2 linked regions of the Daphnia pulex genome follow. The protein of the gene in region 2 interacts with the protein of the main gene of each other region in a pairwise test. Links are inferred from orthologs where the notes say so. Each region holds a gene or a part of one and is shown on either strand. Other genes may lie near its edges.

The links.
Region 1: the proteins of G-protein-signaling modulator 2-like (region 2) and guanine nucleotide-binding protein G(i) subunit alpha interact in a two-hybrid assay, tested with the Drosophila melanogaster proteins (2 studies listed by BioGRID). The link is inferred for Daphnia pulex from reciprocal best matches to the Drosophila melanogaster genes pins and Galphai.

What each region holds. Positions count from the first base shown.
Region 1 is NC_060020.1:3,521,641-3,527,893, forward strand, and holds guanine nucleotide-binding protein G(i) subunit alpha, read right to left. Parts: upstream 3,786-6,253; 5' UTR 3,663-3,785; exon of another isoform or gene 3,339-3,662; intron 3,239-3,338; 5' UTR 3,216-3,238; coding exon 3,095-3,215; intron 3,025-3,094; coding exon 2,837-3,024; intron 2,776-2,836; coding exon 2,704-2,775; intron 2,642-2,703; coding exon 2,427-2,641; intron 2,357-2,426; coding exon 2,262-2,356; intron 2,197-2,261; coding exon 2,008-2,196; intron 1,938-2,007; coding exon 1,747-1,937; 3' UTR 444-1,746; downstream 1-443. UniProt on the Drosophila melanogaster protein: Guanine nucleotide-binding proteins (G proteins) are involved as modulators or transducers in various transmembrane signaling systems.
Region 2 is NC_060018.1:4,010,778-4,017,067, reverse strand, and holds the start of G-protein-signaling modulator 2-like, read right to left. Parts: upstream 4,051-6,290; 5' UTR 3,939-4,050; exon of another isoform or gene 3,857-3,938; 5' UTR 3,602-3,856; coding exon 3,525-3,601; intron 3,397-3,524; coding exon 3,241-3,396; intron 3,159-3,240; coding exon 3,023-3,158; intron 2,951-3,022; coding exon 2,808-2,950; intron 2,718-2,807; coding exon 2,594-2,717; intron 2,404-2,593; coding exon 2,288-2,403; intron 2,157-2,287; coding exon 1,990-2,156; intron 1,854-1,989; coding exon 1,756-1,853; intron 1,666-1,755; coding exon 1,462-1,665; intron 1,220-1,461; coding exon 1,097-1,219; intron 911-1,096; coding exon 757-910; coding exon of another isoform or gene 622-756; coding exon 410-621; intron 308-409; coding exon 116-307; 3' UTR 1-115. Other genes in the region: ubiquinone biosynthesis protein COQ4 homolog, mitochondrial-like, read left to right, coding at 4,347-4,443, 4,519-4,653, 4,719-4,815, 4,878-4,980, 5,058-5,187, 5,276-5,369, 5,777-5,933.

The DNA.
Region 1 (6,253 bases), on a different chromosome or scaffold from region 2:
GTCATCTCCTATCGCTCGCGCACCACTTTCAATTCATCAATAACAAATAAAGAGCAAAGGGGCGGCAAAAGAAGTGCCAGGCGGTGGCAGCAGCCCCCAAACTCCACGACGTAATCATTTGCCATTCCGGTTTGAAAATGCAATGGGGAGGCGGGATAAAATGTATACGTAAATACCTTTTCAAAAGAAAACGAGAAAAGACGATCCGCTGAAAGCTGGAGGGGGGAACTTGTTATTGCAAACTTGTGCGATGTGTTCAACATGACGAAAACATTTTCTTTTCTTTTTCCAGACTCGCAACTTTCCGTAGAGGAACTCAGAGGACCCCCCTCTCTTTTGGGGTACTAAATAAGTAATGGAATTTCATTCGATGCCTTATTGAAAAGCTATTCAATTTTCTCATGCGGAATAAGAAAAAAAAATGGTTTGCGAGAGGCTCGAGGCAGCTTGCATGCAAGTTGTATTGATACCATATACACAATATATCGGGGAAGACGATAGAAATCGTAAAAAAAAAGGAAGAGGCCGTCATAACTTCGTCGTCCCATTTTGCATACACTTAAAAAAATTGGAGAAAAAAAATCGTAATAAAAGGGGGAGGAGTCAAATATTTTTTTTGGGGGGGTGGATGAAAATACACACAGACACACAAAGGAAAAAAACAAAAGCCAAAAGAAATCGTTCGGAGTTAAAAAGAAAAGAGTAAGAAAGAAAAAAAACAGGGTTTGTTTTTTTGTATTTCGAATATATAAAGAATTATCAGGAACATCGTTCGAGCGATGCATCAGGGGCCAAATTGGAAGACATGCCAGGCTGGTTAAGTGAGAGGACGATCATTATCTAGACAAAAAAGCAATTTTCTAAAATAATTATCCACCGATCAATCAACGACCGAGTATCAAATATCTTGGATAGGAATAATAATAATGAAAAAAAAAAAAACGAGTCAAAAAGTAGTTGAGCATGTGAAGCGGAAATTGTTTGAAGGACTGTCGTTGGCAAAAATAGAGCTGGAAAGACCTGGACAGAATGAAAAAAAGAAAAAAAAAATGTTAAGGGCCCAGGCATGTGAAGGAATGTTAAGCCATAGATTAACAAGTAAAAAAAATAGATGGTCTGCATGGAAAAGCAGATAAAAGAGGAAGGATGGCGTGTCACGCAAAGAGTCTTTTGTTTTCTCTGATGGCGTTACGATCAAACAATTTAACGTTAAACGGGGGGGGGGGAGGAGGGAGGATGGCTGTGCGATGGGGAGGATTTTGGTTATTCAACGCGTCCGAACGGCAGGAGAATTTGTATGAAAAAAATGTAAGAGAATTCGAAATGTTTTGTGCTCTTTTTGTTTTAATATGGCAATCAAAGAGTGGTTGAGCTTCGTTTTTTGTTTTCTTTCTTTTTCTTCAAAAGGGATATTAGTGTCAATATCATTGCTCGAGCAAAACAAAAGAAATATCAACAGATTAAATTTCGAGTCGATCGAATAAAGGGAGGAAGCAATTATGTGCGTGATGGCCAGCGCAACGAGAGGGATGCTTACAGCGAATTTGTGTTGCGTTTCTTTCTTTCTTTTTCTTTCTTTTACGGGCCGACGATGAACGTACAGTTTACAAAATGATATTTTCAGACTAAGTTTGTGGTATCCAAGACAAAATCAATAATAAAGAGAGAGAAAAATAAGAGGGGAGAGTTTAAGATTAAGAGAGAGAGCTGGGATGGGATGGTGTGCACTGGCATCCCAGAATCGAATTAGAAAAGACCGCAGTCTTTCAAATTGTTCTTAATCACAACATCCGTGACCGCATCAAAGACAAATTGGATGTTGCTGGTGTCGGTGGCGCACGTAAAGTGCGTGTAAATCTCTTTCTGGTCACGACGCTTGTTTAGACTCTCAAACTTCATTTGAATGTAGGCCGCTCCCTCCTCGTAAGTGTTGGATCCTTGAACGCAAACGTCACACAAATTAGTTTCTGAAGAAAATTAAAAAGGACTTAAGTCAATTAAACTTACCTGGGTATTCGGGAAAGCAGATGGTGAGAGATGATTTGGTAATTTTCTCCTCAAAGAGATCCTTCTTGTTGAGGAACAGGATGATTGAGGTCTCCACAAACCACTTGTTGTTGCATATCGAGTCAAACAGCTTCATTGACTCGATCATGCGATTCATCTCTTCATCTTCGGCTAACACCAGATCGTAACCTGGAGCAAAGTATCAACAATAAAGCTCACAGAAAAGGGGAAATTAAGCCTGAATCTTTTCGTACCTGATAACGCCACGCAAAAGATGATGGCTGTCACTCCTTCAAAACAGTGAATCCACTTTTTACGTTCTGATCGCTGTCCGCCGACGTCAAACATCCTGTAGATTCAAATGAATTCGATGAGTTTCTATGATTTTCGAATGATGGAAAACAAGTGAATGATTGTACTTGAAACGAAGTCCTTTGAATGAAAAATGCGTTTCGATGATTCCTGTGGTTTTCACTCTTGTTCTCAGGACATCTTGCTGCGTAGGTACGTAGTTGGGTGCTGAGATACGGTCTAAGGCGTTGAGATAATAGGCAGCTGAATCGTTCAACTGGTATTCCCGGGAGCGAGAGAAACAATGCTGCACCCCTCCGTCCATCCACAATCGTTTCATTACCTAACGAACAGAATATTAAAGTTAGGATTTTTCAATTTACAAGGAAAGATGGATCGTCTTACCTGAGCCAAGTCATATGTAAGCATTCCTTCATCAGCAGCGCTTGCTAGTGTGAAAAATAGCCTGGCATCATCCTATTAGAAAAGCACCAGTTAACGCCTGAGGGCTGTATTCAAATTGAAGGTGATAACTCACCACGGCTCTACTGGAGTCTGCAAAGTTGATTCTGAGTTGGCCCATGGCACGAATGATGGCCATCAGACTTTGTATTGTGTTGCTGTATACTACAGGTCGATACTGTTCACATTCTTCTTTGGAATATCCAGTTTCATGGATGATTTTCATCTGTTTGACAATTGTACTTTTGCCTGATTCACCAGCACCTGTGAACAGAATCAGCATTATTAATGAATGCCACAAAAACTATGAGCGAGAAATCAATCAAGTACTCACCAAGCAACAGGAGTTTGACTTCTCGTGCAGCACGTTCCCCATCAGCCCTTAAATCTTTGTCAATCTTCTTGGATCGCTCAACCGCTTCTTTGTCGGTTGTTGAGCTAACCGCACAGCCCATGGTGAAAACTGTTTTGAGCGAACCTGCAAATACAAAATGTGGAAATTGTTAATCAAACCCAAGCCTAGCAAAATGATTTTTAAAATGCTGTATAAACCACAAAAAGGAATAACTGTCACTAACACTAATTGTTTGTAAAGGTGAACTAAAATGGAAACAAATCCAAAAGAAAACCAAAAATTGTCGGTTAAACTTTGAGAGGTGTCTGATTGTAACGGAGCTTGGTTAAAACTTTCAAACGGCCACCGAGTCGTGTCAACAGTTCAATCCAAGTCACGAACTCGAGTGAATCTAAAATCGATGGTAATTCGAAAAGTGAGACAAGAGCGATCGGAACAACGATTTGATATTCGATGTCTCTTTTGTCAAAAGGAAAAGATTTCAAGTTTCAAAACGCAAGTTTTGACATTTTTGATTCTTTTCCAACAGTAAAAAAACTCAACTTACGCTGCACTGCAGTCAAAGGCGGGGCAAAACTCGAACGTTGCCGTCCGTTGCCATATTTATTTGCCGCTTTTGGCAACGCAGCTTCAACACTCAAAACCCGCCTCTCCTCTTCTTATTTTATTTTTTTTGCTCGACCCCAAATCACAGCAGAGAGAGAGAGCATTACAGCATAGTAGACTGAATAGAGTCTCTTATTCACTATTATGACGCCACGGTCGTGTGAATAGACGGTTGCCCGATAACCGTTACGAATTCGCCACACTCTTGGGGTTCAGCGCGTCGTTTCCATTTTTGATTTTCCCCCACTGCTCCCACTGCTGATTGATTATTCCCTGATCTTGGCCGCTTCCCTGCTGCGTTGCTTTGACAAATGGTATTCGTCCAGAAAATAAATTTAGAAAAAAAAAAATGAAATCAACGTCTTGAGACTGTAAATTCGCTCCTGTTTATTTGGCATATAATTACAGGACATTAAAAACCGGTTTCCTACAACGGTTGGCCTGACACGGCCAGCCTCCATTGTGTCGGTGATGAGCTGTACTCACAACTGGGGGGGTATATATGAAAAAGGGACGAAAGGAGCTTCTACAGCACACAAATCGACCGGAAATACTTCATCACAGGCACACGGTCTTTTATGGGTATGCGCTTTTTTTTACCCGGTTCAGTGTTCTGCCTGTTTTTCGTTGGGTTTTGGTGTGTTCAATGAGGAAACCGGAACCCTCGTTTCGTTTGTATATCTCTTGGAACTTTACACGACGAGGCCGCGCCCTGATTTCTTTTTCTCCATTTCCTCAGCAGCATGAATATATTCATGTTTCTGGGTCTTTTTTCTTTTTTTTTTTAAAACAGATGCGCGCTCTTCGAGCTGTCTCTCTTGTAAACAAACAGACGCGCCGACAACTTGTGTGAGACGTGATTCATATCGAAGTGAGGCTGCTAGACCACCCGCTACGATTTAACATTTTGTTGCAAATGGTTAAAAGGAAAAAAGAAGAAAACGATTAAAGCCATCCCACCAGCATGTAGCATGCGATGATCCCGTCGCAGTTGCTTCTTTTGGTACTTGTTTAACACTATGATGACGTCAAAGGAATATAAGGAGAGAGAGGGCGCTTTTATATACTATAGCGGCTAGTGATAATCGGAAAAATATCCTTTTTTCGAAATCTGAGATCCGCGTCGTCGCGTTTCCCCCCTTGGGATATGTCAGTCGTTCGTATGTACATTCGAAATTGAGGAAATTCTCATCCAGCGGCAGCAGTATAGCGCCCGTTGCCATCAGCTGGTTGGTTTTTCCCATCCATTATTTCTTTTATGTGACTGGTGTGTGGGTGCAAAGTCTTTTAGGTTAGTCACCACCACACTTCCGCATATTGGTTTTTAACTTTTTAATGAAGCCCTTCGTCCTCTATTCCTTTTTAATCGTCATCAATTTTTAAGAAATTCTCCCAATATTAAAACAAAAACCTAATAATATTTAAAAAAAAGTAATGTTTAAAAAAAACTTGAAAATATTAATAAAAAGTCTAGATTAAAAAAGGAATGACACATTGAAATGTTCAAGACGGCTTGACAACCATCCGATAACGAATGCCACACATTTTTGTGGCAGTATATGTGAAGTGTATGCGAATCATTTCCAGCATAAACTGCCAATCTCGTCCAATATCGAATTTGGAACGCCAAACAATAAATTAGGTTACTATACTACTGCATAGCTATATGTTTTTTTTGTTATATTGTCTAGCTGGGCATATTTCTGGTTTCTTTCAATGCTGTCTTATATAGCATCGTAATAACACGTTCCGGTTATTTTGCAAAGGATCCTCTCTTTTTTTTATATTATATTTGTTTTCAAGAAAACGGGTGAAAATGTAGGACGCCAGAGAAAGAGATAGAAAAAGACTGCGACGAAAGGATAAAATTTGAAACGACCATTCGCGGATAAAAGTTATGGGAGCTTAAATTTTTTTTTTTCAAGTCCACTTAAATAAGAATTTATAGCTTCTATATATATATGCTGTGAATACATTTCTTTTCTTTCTTATTTTTTGAAATAGAAAACATTCCAGCTGTGGGTAACAATCCATTTGCTGATGCCGTTTGACCAAGCAAGAAAAAAGGGGAATTTGTATACAGGCAGTTGCGGAATGCATTGTGTACTATATTTGTATGCATCGCTATATCCAGCAGTTTTGTTCACGGAGCGTAAATATCGCGCCCATAAAAACTGATGGAAACACATAAAGGACGTAAGACTGTGCGTTCCAGCTAAATGTAATGTACGTTAACCAAACGGTCGAGAAAAAAAAATTCACGGAAGCCCGGCGTTTGAGAAGAATTATCAATTCCTACTCAAATTTCCAGGAAGTCTACAACAGGACGAATTTTTCATTCTTCAACATCAACCAATTATCAAATAGGGTCCGAGGGTCTTCCGTCAAAACAGAGCTGGATCCGATTTCAAATATAGTTTACTGACCTTGCTCAGAACTATTACATAACAGAGACTAATATTATGAGTAGGTTGAATAAAAATAGACCATGTTTTTATATAGTGTCGTGATTCACCTTTATGTTTGAGTAAA
Region 2 (6,290 bases):
AATAAAAATGGAGAGAGGGTATTGATAGAGACTGTCAACATACATTTCGATCATGGATGAGAGCTGATGGCGAGGAGGGGTAAAACATTCCGAGAGGTTAGGGATACCGTTCCGTCTAGGAGGAAGTGGCGGCAGCTCCGTTGGCAGCGATGAGAGGTGAAGGATCTTCGGCTCTTTGATCCTCGAGTCGACCCGATTGGAGTCGCATTATCAACGAGAAAAAGTCTTCGTCGGGCATGGTGGGCCCCCTGTGCCGCCGAGGCGATGTATCCGGCAAGGCGCTGCGCTGATCTTCCAGCCTCGTACCCTACACGATGAAAAAAATAAAAAGTAAAAAATCATTTTAAAAAGTCGTTCGTGAAAAAGAAACGAGTACAAATTCGGCCAAAAAGGTGGAAGAATATCTAACCTGACACCGCATCAACATTTCGAAGAAATTCTCATCGGGCAATGCGGCTGCATCCTCGCCGGCTGGCTCCACAGACAGCCGACGTAAAATGTCTGGATTGGCGTTGTTCAGGCCGGGTAGTCGCGGTAGTGAAGCTCTCTGCTCATCCATCCGGCGACTCTGCATGCCGGCGATCAGGTCCATTAAATCTTCCTTCAATCTCGACGGGCTCTCTATCGAAACAATATGCGAAAAAAGAGGAAAATAAAAACACACTCCCTCGTAGAAGCAGGCAAACGAAACAAAACTCGGGGCGACGCCAGGAGCGCGTATCCCCCCTCCCTGGTTTCCCTGGAAAAACAACTCACCGTGAATATTCGACGGGAGTGTACTTGCTTGTTGGTTCTCCTTGTTGTCTACGATTGCCAACGAGCAACGCTGATCGTCCATGCGTTTCGATTGGAATTGAGTGACCAAATTAAAAAAGGATTCCTCTTCATCCATGGCGTCGTCTCCGTTGGCCTATCGTATTGCAAAACGAAATGGATTCCGGTTAGCAACAGGGTAGTAACGGACAGAAATAGAGAGACAAAAACAACAAGCGAGACTATGAGATGTGACAGTTGTGATAGACTGGCAGCGAAAGAAGCAGACAGACGAACGAGCCATCCGATAGAGCCGGATCAAGAGAGGATTGTTGAAACTTACAAACGGGGGCAGCATATCACGTCTAACCAACGGGTGACCAGCGAGCGGTCTAGGCCACACAGGATCCATTTCATGCAGTTCCCGGCGTCCCTTGCTATGAAGTTGTTTCACATCCGGCGTCAGCTGGATTAATCACAGTGCAAGCAACCGAAATTGAAACGGACCAACGAAAACAATGATGACGGTAATAAAAATAATAATAAAATCGCCATGCTGCAGATTTTGCCAAGAGAAAAAATAGAAGTTTTGGAAGGTCTCCGGTAGATTTCCCACCTTCCCAAGTTTGAACGCGAGGGTGCGGTATGCGAGAAAATAGAAGCCAAGAATAATAACAAAGCGACAAAAGCGGACGAACACAAACAAACCTTGAGCAAATCCATGCGCTCCATGCTTAACCTGCGCCTTGCCTTGCTATCTGCTCCGTAGAGTCCGTCGTCGTCGGCCTCGGAAGCGTGACCTTTCGTTGAGTTTCCCATGCCGCCGCAACCACCGTCGCCGTCAACGCCCAATGTGCGTCTCAAGTCGGCCAAGTTCATCTGTGCTGTCGCCTCGCCGGTCGGATCGCCAATCTTAGAGATGGAGAAAAGAGGGTAACGGTCATTTTACGCCATAACCATTAGTCCATTAGTAGGTCGGTTGATTGGTTCGTGTTGGCTCACCTCGCGGGATATTTCAAGGTGCCGTTGTGCGTAGTGCAGGGCTTTCTCGTGATTTCCCATGGCAGCGTGTGCATTCCCCAAGCTCCAGCAAGCACGTCCTATTGGTGACGGTCACGAAACAAACCGGAACAATGTTAATGGCGATCACAGGGAAGAAAGATTTTCCAAATTTAAAAGAACAAACAAAAAACAACCCGAAAGAAAATGAGCACCGAGTTCTCAGCACCGACTAACCTTCTCCAACTTTATCCATTAGCTCTTCAGCAATACGCAAGTGCCGCAGATGGTAATCGATGGCTGTGGGATAATCGCGAAGCAGAGTATACGTATTTCCCAGGCTGTAACAGGCTTGCGCTTCGACGGCTCGATCTCCGAGATCCTGTGCAAGTAGGAGTGTTTTCCTGAGGGAGAGGGGGGTAAATTGAATTTGAATGGGATTTCTTTAAAGTTTAAAGACGCTCGACGATTCCGTCCTTTTCATACGCAAATTACGGAAACTTTCGATCAGTAAAAAGGAAGTCGCTGTATTTACTTGTAATGTTCTGCAGCCGTTTCGAACTCTCCGAGGAAGATGTGCGCATTTCCCAGGTTGCTGTGGGCTCTCCTTTCGGCTGCTTTGTCCCCAAATTCTCGAGCAATATTCAGTCGCTAGAAGCACAATTGAAAAAAGAAAGTGGGCGATGAAAGAAGATTTTTCGCTCACGTAAACCACGAATAATTTGTCCCGATTGTATCGATTTTAATCTCCCTAAGCCTTCCCTATTAAACCTTCGTTTTTTTTACAACCCATACACACGATATCATAAGATATACATTTTTTATAGCCAAAAACGCTCACCTCTTGATGATATTTTATGGCTTGCGTAAAGCTACCCAAGAGATAATGGGTATTGCCCAAGTTCCCGCATGCCCGACCTTGGGCAGCACGATCGGTTATTTCTCTCATGAGTTCAAGATTTTCTCTATTAAGACGAAAACCAAAAGATAATGTTAATCAGAACGGGTAAGTAAAATCCAATCTCAACTTCCTCTTGGAAAAAATAAAAACTCACTCGTAATAATTTACGGCTGTTAGCAGGCAGTTCCGCACGTCTTCGGGAAACTCGCCTGGATCTTGTTGACCCAGCCGGCCGAGATGTTTTCCTTTCGCATGAAAAACGTTCCCCAAGTTATACAACGCCCTTCCTTCTCCAACCTGGAAATGCGTGGGAGCCATGTTTACATTAGAGGCGACGAAAACGATATTAGGAGCTAAAAAAAACTGTACTTTATCGGTAAGCTCCCTGGAAATGTCGAGGTGTCTTTTGCAACAGAGAACAGCTTCATCGAATCTGCCCATTACTTTCAATGTGTTTCCAAGATTTCCACTGGCTTTGGCTTCACCTAGTCTGTCACCCATGGTTCTGTAAAATATGGCAGTTTAGAAAATAAAATTTAAATTTTTCCACAATTAGAACCAAACAAATATAGTGTGTGAACAATTACCTGGCTAGAGTAAGATCATGTTTGTGATACTGCATGGCTTTGGTGTATTCACCCAGGTAAAAATATGCATTTCCAAGTTGTGAGTAAATGGCGCTGAGGGTCCTCAAGTCATCGGTACCAGCTTGAATTGCTGCTTCGAAAAAGGCGACACCAGCTCTGTGAGAAAGCAAACACAAAGTTACTGACAAGTGTGTTTGATACTACGTATGAATCACAATAAGTTTTCCAACCGACAAGCTGATTTCCTCTAGGGCAAAACAACTTGGCACATGGAAAGTTTCTACCTGCAATCACCAGCTTTGCAAAGACGTTCTCCTTCTAACGCCAATTCAAGGCATGTGCTGTTATCCATGTCTGTCATTTTGTCAGGATGATTGTGTTTTGACTCAGCGAAGCTAAATGTTGACTAAGAAACACTAGTGTATAACTTTTCCCACTGTGTTGAGAAGTCGGTAAACCTAACGAATAACAAGACGAGCGTCTAGGAAAGCCTCGACTTCAGGAGACCAACTGAACGACTGAACTAAGGAACGTCCAGTTCAAATTCAAGAGACTCCCGACAGAGTATTGATTGTCGAGTTGCGCGCGGCTAGACTCACTGGTTGCGTTGCTTGCTCTTTTTCCACGAAGTAAAAATAAAAACATATGAATCAAATGCGTGTGACAGTAGGCTAGAATTCAAACCAGCATAGCATTACATCAGTCTTTAAAAAAACGTTGGCAAAACTTTTGAAAACTAAGACAGTACGTCTCGAATAAAACGAGACAATCGCAGAAACAAACCGCCCTTGTCTTTATTCCGCGCAACTTTTATTTCAATTCGACCAAACGACCGTTGGAGTGGATAGTTAGCATGTGGCGCCAAAAAACCAAGGCTAAAAGCCCCTGGCGGAAAAACAACTCACCACTAGATGGATCACGGACGAAAACGATTTTTGAAGCTATTTAGCAGACGAAGTCAAGTTGTTTCGTTAAAAGTGGTTTTACTTGTTTTCTTTTTTTTTTAAATTATTTCCGTGTTGTTATTCATGGATGATTACGTGAGAACCTACTTTCGGTGAAGGAAGAAATTGAACATTCACAGCTGCTGATTATTAAGGAACAAAATGTTTTTGAAGAGTTTGATTACTCGTCATAATCGAGTTGCTGTTCATGCTTTCATCGAGCGACAGTACACAACGACGACCCAAATTCCCTACATTTGTAAGTTAAAATTTGCCTTAACTCTCTTATGCACATAATTTAACTGGATGTTTGCCCTACATTGAATTTTCCAAGTGAAATGGATGAAGTCGGAAACAACAAAGAAAAGCGAACCTTTGTATGATGGGCACATTCCCATAAATTTGCTTCAAAGAGCTGTCCTTTCTGTGGGTTCTAGCATTGTGGCGCTGACAGATCCTGCAAGAGGAGGTGACGAGAGCTCAAAAAACTCAAAAGGCCTGAAAATAAGTTTCCTTTTGTTGATCCGAAATTAGACATGGTCGCTGTCAATGGTGAAAGTTCTGGCCACTCTGCTCTCAAAAAGATGCACAGAAAGATGCTGGAAAGTGAAGAAGGCCGACAAATTCTCATGTAAGCAATCTTTCCACAGTTAGTTATCAAGATTCTAATTTCTCATTATCATTGCCAACCAGGGGGAGGCCTAGAATAAACTCGAGCACAATAGACATTGAGAAGCTCAAATCTTACCCAGACGGAACTTTAGGAAGAGAATACACCAAGTTTCTCGAAGTCAATGTAAGTCACAAAGTTACAAAGCCGTCTCGCAATTCGTGAGCATAAATCTGACTAGATAAATGGGGCTGATTCAACAGAACGTCAGCCCGGATACGAGATTGCCTGTCCGCTTTGTTGACGACGCCGACTTGGCTTACGTGATGCAGCGCTACCGCGAAACCCACGACCTGGTCCACACTTTGCTGGGATGTCCCACCAACATGCTAGGTATAGTCGCATTCACGATTGACCGGCAAGTTTAGATTGCGCTGCCTTGGAAATGCTCCTGAAAAGCAAATTTCCTTTTTTTTAATAGGCGAAGTTGCAGTCAAGTGGGTTGAAGCCCTTCAGACGGAATTGCCCATGTGTATCGGTGGTGCTGTGTTTGGACCTATTCGCTTGAAACCAAAGTAAATAGACAATTCATTGCCTCCGTTTTTCCTTCACACTAGAACAACGAAAAAAGGACAACATTGGCAGCAAACGGTAGAACAAACAAAAGAGACTAACAAGTGGACAGATCGTTTCCAGCCAGTTAATTAAATCCAGCTGTGTGACAACAATAGGAAGCCCTTTTATAAATTTGAATTGAGTCAACTGATGTAATAAGAGCATCCTCTTTTTCGTTTTCCTTTTTTCGTTGGGTCTCCTCTCAATTTCTTTTCTCTGCGTCTCTCCCCCGTGTGCGGTTGTTGTCTCTCGTTCGGTCGAGTGTAGCACGCTGAGCCGCTTTTGTCTCCTCCCCAGGACTAATGAGCTTCTTCTTCTTTTTTGTTTTTCTTTGCCCGTCTTTTGTCAATTATTATGTTCGTGCAAGGAACCGGTCGACTTATCTGAGCAAGTACTTACCGTGGGCCATAGGCGTGGGCTCGAGGAGCAGCTTCTTAATGAACGTCTTCTACGAGCGACGCTGGGAACAAGATATCGCAGAATTGCGTGACGAATTGAAAATCGAAACTCCACCTGGGGTTTGATAGGTCCGCCGCCTTCCCATTGAGACCGACGTCTGCCGGATGCGGAGACACAACACTGAACCCCCCGCGAAGATGCGCCACCACCCTCACTCTCGCCAACAAATTTGGACCCTTTCAGTCTCTAATAATTGTTGTTTTCTTTTTCTTTCTTTCTTTCTTTCTTTCTTTCTTTCCCTCTTGTCGTTTTTATATATTTCCCTACTCTCTTGATTGGTACTTCTTCGTCCCATCCGAGTGTCTCTTCTCCCCTCCGCCAGCCGGGGGACCTGGCCTGATGGGCGCCCATCATTTTCATAGAGAAGAGAATAGAATTGGCCGACACAATGGACGGCTGATTGAATACATCCTCGCGCGTTG